Xenopus tropicalis: one gene and its partner. The protein of the gene in region 1 purifies or fractionates together with the protein of each later gene. This does not show direct contact. Links are inferred from orthologs where the notes say so. Each region holds a gene or a part of one and is shown on either strand. Other genes may lie near its edges.

Region 1 (3,653 bases):
TGGAAGGGTTACTGCCTGCCCTGCTCTCATTTCCCTACAGAAATAGGGGTTGGTAGCACTAGGTAGGTACCTAATATATAGGGGCAGAGACAGGGGAAAGTGTTGGAAGGGTTACTGCCTGCCCTGCTCTCATTTCCCTACAGAAATAGGGGTTGGTAGCACTAGGTAGGTACCTAATATATAGGGGCAGAGAAAGGGGAAAGTGTTGGAAGGGTTACTGCCTGCCCTGCTCTCATTTCCCTACAGAAATAGGGGTTGGTAGCACTAGGTAGGTACCTAATATATAGGGCAGAGACAGGGGAAAGTGTTGGAAGGGTTACTGCCTGCCCTGCTCTCATTTCCCTACAGAAATAGGGGTTGGTAGCACTAGGTAGGTACCTAATATATAGGGGCAGAGACAGGGGAAAGTGTTGGAAGGGTTACTGCCTGCCCTGCTCTCATTTCCCTACAGAAATAGGGGTTGGTAGCACTAGGTAGGTACCTAATATATAGGGGCAGAGACAGGGGAAAGTGTTGGAAGGGTTACTGCCTGCCCTGCTCTCATTTCCCTACAGAAATAGGGGTTGGTAGCACTAGGTAGGTACCTAATATATAGGGGCAGAGACAGGGGAAAGTGTTGGAAGGGTTACTGCCTGCCCTGCTCTCATTTCCCTACAGAAATAGGGGTTGGTAGCACTAGGTAGGTACCTAATATATAAGGGCAGAGACAGGGGAAAGTGTTGGAAGGGTTACTGCCTGCCCTGCTCTCATTTCCCTACAGAAATAGGGGTTGGTAGCACTAGGTAGGTACCTAATATATAGGGGCAGAGACAGGGGAAAGTGTTGGAAGGGTTACTGCCTGCCCTGCTCTCATTTCCCTACAGAAATAGGGGTTGGTAGCACTAGGTAGGTACCTAATATATAGGGCAGAGACAGGGGAAAGTGTTGGAAGGGTTACTGCCTGCCCTGCTCTCATTTCCCTACAGAAATAGGGGTTGGTAGCACTAGGTAGGTACCTAATATATAGGGGCAGAGACAGGGGAAAGTGTTGGAAGGGTTACTGCCTGCTCTGCTCTCATTTCCCTACAGAAATAGGGGTTGGTAGCACTAGGTAGGTACCTAATATATAGGGGCAGAGAAAGGGGAAAGTGTTGGAAGGGTTACTGCCTGCCCTGCTCTCATTTCCCTACAGAAATAGGGGTTGGTAGCACTAGGTAGGTACCTAATATATAGGGGCAGAGACAGGGGAAAGTGTTGGAAGGGTTACTGCCTGCCCTGCTCTCATTTCCCTACAGAAATAGGGGTTGGTAGCACTAGGTAGGTACCTAATATATAGGGGCAGAGACAGGGGAAAGTGTTGGAAGGGTTACTGCCTGCCCTGCTCTCATTTCCCTACAGAAATAGGGGTTGGTAGCACTAGGTAGGTACCTAATATATAGGGGCAGAGACAGGGGAAAGTGTTGGAAGGGTTACTGCCTGCCCTGCTCTCATTTCCCTACAGAAATAGGGGTTGGTAGCACTAGGTAGGTACCTAATATATAAGGGCAGAGACAGGGGAAAGTGTTGGAAGGGTTACTGCCTGCCCTGCTCTCATTTCCCTACAGAAATAGGGGTTGGTAGCACTAGGTAGGTACCTAATATATAGGGGCAGAGACAGGGGAAAGTGTTGGAAGGGTTACTGCCTGCCCTGCTCTCATTTCCCTACAGAAATAGGGGTTTGGTAGCACTAGGTAGGTACCTAATATATAGGGGCAGAGAAAGGGGAAAGTGTTGGAAGGGTTACTGCCTGCCCTGCTCTCATTTCCCTACAGAAATAGGGGTTGGTAGCACTAGGTAGGTACCTAATATATAAGGGCAGAGACAGGGGAAAGTGTTGGAAGGGTTACTGCCTGCCCTGCTCTCATTTCCCTACAGAAATAGGGGTTGGTAGCACTAGGTAGGTACCTAATATATAGGGGCAGAGACAGGGGAAAGTGTTGGAAGGGTTACTGCCTGCCCTGCTCTCATTTCCCTACAGAAATAGGGGTTGGTAGCACTAGGTAGGTACCTAATATATAGGGGCAGAGACAGGGGAAAGTGTTGGAAGGGTTACTGCCTGCCCTGCTCTCATTTCCCTACAGAAATAGGGGTTGGTAGCACTAGGTAGGTACCTAATATATAGGGGCAGAGACAGGGGAAAGTGTTGGAGGGTTACTGCCTGCCCTGCTCTCATTTCCCTACAGAAATAGGGGTTGGTAGCACTAGGTAGGTACCTAATATATAGGGGCAGAGACAGGGGAAAGTGTTGGAAGGGTTACTGCCTGCCCTGCTCTCATTTCCCTACAGAAATAGGGGTTGGTAGCACTAGGTAGGTACCTAATATATGGGGGCAGAGACAGGGGAAAGTGTTGGAAGGGTTACTGCCTGCCCTGCTCTCATTTCCCTACAGAAATAGGGGTTGGTAGCACTAGGTAGGTACCTAATATATAGGGGCAGAGACAGGGGAAAGTGTTGGAAGGGTTACTGCCTGCCCTGCTCTCATTTCCCTACAGAAATAGGGGTTGGTAGCACTAGGTAGGTACCTAATATATAGGGGCAGAGACAGGGGAAAGTGTTGGAAGGGTTACTGCCTGCCCTGCTCTCATTTCCCTACAGAAATAGGGGTTGGTAGCACTAGGTAGGTACCTAATATATAGGGGCAGAGACAGGGGAAAGTGTTGGAAGGGTTAATGCCTGCCCTGCACCCAGCTGATGTGCCACATAGTGAATTTCAGATATTAAGGCCCAAACATTGACGTTACCTGCACAACGACGACCTGAATTGATACATGATCGGGTAGTCGGATGGGGGCCCGAAAATACTGTGACAGGGCAACCAGAAGATGAAGGATGGCTACCACAGACTTTGCATGGATTGCTGAAATAAAAGAAAAAAAATGAAGATTAAGTTGATTTTTCCCCCATTTGCCATACGGGCACCTAAAGGCCCAATATTCCCAGCAATCGTCAGAGCTACCAAGGCGGCTGGGGGTGCAGCTGCGCCAGGGCCTGTGTTCCAATAGGGCAGATTACTCTGTGTCATCAACATGCCAAGCTCTGATTGGTCAGTCAGTTCTGGTGGGCTGGAGAACACAGGCTCTGAGTGTTTAAAAAGTATTTGGAAAATATTTGTCCCCCCTGCCCCTCCTTCCCAGAGCCGACTGGGATTTATAATTGATCATGTGTGCAGGGCTGTCCAATCACAGGCCAGTACACTCCCCTTCCTGCTGCTTCTAGTGTGATGTAGAGCGTGCTATACTGAGACAATTTGCAATTGGTCTTCATTTTTTATTATTGGTAGCTTTTTAATTATTTTACTGTTTCTTCCGCAGCTCTGCAGTTTGGAATTTCAGCAGCTATCTGGTTGCTAGGGTCCAGTTTAACTTGGTAACCATGGAATGGTTTGAGAGATTAACTGGTATATGAATAGGAGAGGGGCTGAATAGTAAGACAAGCAATAAAAAGTAACAATAACAATAAAACTGGAGCCTCACAGAGCAATAGGGTTTGGCTGCCGGGGTCAGTGACCCCCATTTCAAAGATGGAAAGAGGCAGAAGAAGAAGGCAAATAATGATAAAACTATAAAAGATAAATAATGAAGACCAATTGAAAAGTTGCTTTGAACTGGCCATTCTGTAACATACTAAAAGTTATC
Region 2 (3,653 bases), on another chromosome or scaffold:
GCTAGGGCCCAATCTAACCTAGCAACCAGGCAGTGGTTTGAAAGAGAGACAGGAATATAAGGAAGGCATAAATAGGATAGAATAGTTTTTTGTCTGCTGGGGTCAGTGACCCCTATTTAAAAGTTGGAAAAAATTAAAATAATAATTAAAAATAAAAACAAATGAAGACCAATTGAAAAATTGCCAAGAATAGGCTGTTTAATAACAGACAGAAAGTTAACCTGAAGGTGAACCACCTATTTAATTTATTTGTCTTTACATGCATGGCAGAGCTGAATGCCACTCCAGCCACAAAGACCAACTGCATGGTAGGGGACAAAGGCAGAGGCTACCTGGAAGGTACAAAGGGGTTGGAGAAGGAGAGGCCTGTGACTTTCATATTAGGGTTGATATTCATAGCCAAGGTTACAGTGGGTAATGCCCTGTGACTAAAACATAGGTGTGAATGCCCATTCTGGAAATATGTGTATCCTGTACACTGGGGCCTTGAAGATTTGAGAAAACTGTTTCCCCTTTGTATGAACATACAAAAAGAAACTTAGGGTTAGAAAAATAAAAGTTTTATTCCAAAAAATATGCCTGGATGCATATGCCTTGCATAAACTCTTTGCTCAGTCACCCTCAGCGGCTGTGTATATTCCCCACCAACACTCAATAACGCACACTTTTCATGCCCTGGGGGTCAGTCAGCAAATGCAAAAACATCCAAGGGGGTGAACAGAATACACTCTGAAAGAGTTCCTGTGTATAAAGCCTCATAAGTTAATACAAAACATCTGAATACAATGGAGTTTCAGAATAATAAAAACAGTCACCTGTGAACCTTCTATGTTAAAGAGGTGGTTTACCTTCAGGTTAACTTTCAGTATGTTGCAGAATGGCCAGTTCTAAGTAACTTTTTAGTTGGTCTTCATTATTTATTTGTTTATAGATTTGGAAACAATTGCCTTCTTCTTACTCTTTCCAGCTACAACTGGGGGTCACTGACCCCAACAGTCAAAAAACTATTGCCCTTTTAGGCAACAATTGTATTGTTAATGTTATCTTTATTATGTTATTAGTTATCTTTCTATTCAGGGCCTCTTCTATTTATATTCCAGTGTCTCTTTCAAACCAACTGATTGCTATGGTAGTTTGGACCCTAGCAACTGGCTGATAGCTGCTGAAATTACAAACTGGAGAGTAAAATAATTAGGAAAACCACAAATAATAAAAAAAAAAAAATGAAGACCAATCTCAAGTATAACTTTCTACATCATACTAAAAGTTAATTAAAAGGTAAACAAACCCTATAATGCTCTATAGCTAAGCCATTGGCCCAAGACAACATATCTGTGTAATATAACATAAAGAAAAGTTGGATGTGCATATTATGCTTAAGAAACAGAACAATAAAACAGATATCTGAAGTCAGTCCCAAAGTAAGGGAAACTTTGGGGCAGATTTATGAAATATTGATGTGGAGAATCCTGAAGAATTCCCAGCCCTTTGACATTTTCCCTATTGTAGAAAACTTTCTCAGTAGTCTGGAATTTTTTAACAGGTAGACATATTTATCAGAATCAACACCTATGCCTGTGCCTCAGGAAGCGGGCTGCTGGATGTGATAACCATTGAGAGAAAGACATTTCTGTGCATAAAGATTTTAAAATTCAGTTCTTATTTAATGCACTGGATACAAATGGATCAAAACCTTACCAAGTTCAGGGGGCAGGACTGTTAGCCTATTTCCTTGTATATGTAGCTCTTTAAGCTGGGTGAGATCCCCTATTTCCTTAGGCAATGATATCAGGTCATTATCCCGAAGACTGATCTAGAAAGGGAAACAAAAACACAAAAGTTGCCATGGCATTAAATGGGAAATAAAGCGCGACTCAGCTATTATTCCGTCGCTCTCTTTCAGAATTCCAATTTATTTACACAAATGTGCTGATAGACAAGCAGCCGTGCTGGGTCAGTAGCTTGTGCTGAAAAATAAAGCACACTACTTCTTAAATTGACTAGACTCCAGTCTTACAAGGGCTGCGAAAGTGAATTGATTTTCCAGGAATTTAGATAAATTACTTACTATCTGCAACTTCGTGAGCTTCCCGATATCTGGCGGCAGGATTTCAAAATCGTTGTCACTTAGATAGAGTGCGCGCAGGGTGGCTGCAAATTAAACAGCAATATATAAACAGGGCGGTGTGTAGCCCCAACCACTTCAGCGGTGATCAATAAAAAGCAGTCAGCTCTGATTAATAACCCCGACGTGGTGAAAAGCCTTTGACACATCCAGGGCTCACAATAATAACAGGCAGGTCAGGCGCAGATTTAGTGGCTTATGGCACGGCTTGTCCGTACAGGAAAACATTTATATCCAAAGGCCTGACACAATTAACAGTTTCTTCTGCTGCGAACGGTGCCCTTTATTTTGTGGCTGTCACGTAGAGGGTTTCCTTTACCGGCGGTGCTGTACTTTTATAGACTGATCTAAATATTACTGTCGTAAAGAAGTCACTGTCTGTTTCATACAGGTATGGGATCCATTATCCAGAAATCCCTTATTCAGAAAGTTCTGAATTACAGGAAGGCCATCTACAATAAACTTCATTATAAGCAAATAATTCTAATTTTTAAAAATAATTTTCCCTTTCTCTGTAATAATAAAACAGTACCTTGTACTTGATCCCAACTAAGGTATAATTAATCCTTATTGGAGGCAAAATAATCTATTGGGTTTAATTAATTTTTAAATAATTTATTATAGACTTAAGGTATCCAAATTACGGAAAGATCCCTAATCCAGAAAACCCCAGGAAAACCGCAGGACCCCAGGAACATTCTGGATATAAGGTCCTATGCCTGTACCAGGTATTTACTAGTGAATTTAACATAAAATCCTATATATTTTTAGAACAATATTTTTCCATGTGGGATTATAGAGTACTCGTGGGATGTGTCAGTAATCTATTTCTATTAAACACGCGAGTATAGCAAGCTGTACATTTGTTCTGTGTAATTAACTGTAAAAATCCCCACTAAATGAGCTGCTCCCATAATGTGTGCATTATTATCGTATAGCAGTAGTACTGTGGACCATAGAGGTTTTATGCTTGCATCTGCTCTTCTTTAGCGCTTTATTTTACCAGCTCTCTTATCTGGAAACCTGTTATCCAGAAAGCTCTGAATTATGGAAAGGCCATCTCCCATAGAGTCCACTATAATCAAAAAATTCACATTTTTAAAAATGATTTAAATTTTTTCTGTAATAATTAAACAGTACCTCTTACTTGGAGGCATCTCAGCTGAATGAATTCATATTGGTGGAAAGACAGTCCTATTGGTTCTGTTTTATGTTTAAATATTTATTAACAGCCTTAAGGTATGGAGATCTAAATTATGGAAAGATCCCTTATACAGAAAAGCACAGATCCCAAGCAGTCAAGATAATAGTTTGTATACCCATACTTCAGCATATACACAGGATTAAATGTCTTACAGGCTACAGTGCTATTTCTTACTTAGATAAAAGAAATTTCCGGGCAGGGAGTTCTCATTCATGTTGTTGTAGGTCAGGTCAAGGACTTCCAAAGCAGGCAAGGAGCCAAACCCACGTGGTAAACTGTTTAACCTGTTCATACTGACCAGCACAAACACAGGATTAGATATGT

What was found.
Region 2: the proteins of parva (region 1) and rsu1 purify together in Homo sapiens (affinity purification with mass spectrometry; 3 studies listed by BioGRID and IntAct, counting the BioPlex papers as one, with this or other methods). This does not show direct contact. The link is inferred for Xenopus tropicalis from reciprocal best matches to the Homo sapiens genes PARVA and RSU1.

What each region holds. Positions count from the first base shown.
Region 1 is NC_030680.2:6,469,573-6,473,225, reverse strand, and holds part of parva (alpha-parvin), read right to left. Parts: intron 2,876-3,653; coding exon 2,760-2,875; intron 1-2,759. UniProt on the Homo sapiens protein: Plays a role in sarcomere organization and in smooth muscle cell contraction. Required for normal development of the embryonic cardiovascular system, and for normal septation of the heart outflow tract.
Region 2 is NC_030682.2:28,758,926-28,762,578, reverse strand, and holds part of rsu1 (ras suppressor protein 1), read right to left. Parts: intron 3,623-3,653; coding exon 3,504-3,622; intron 2,152-3,503; coding exon 2,069-2,151; intron 1,814-2,068; coding exon 1,699-1,813; intron 1-1,698. UniProt on the Homo sapiens protein: Potentially plays a role in the Ras signal transduction pathway. Capable of suppressing v-Ras transformation in vitro.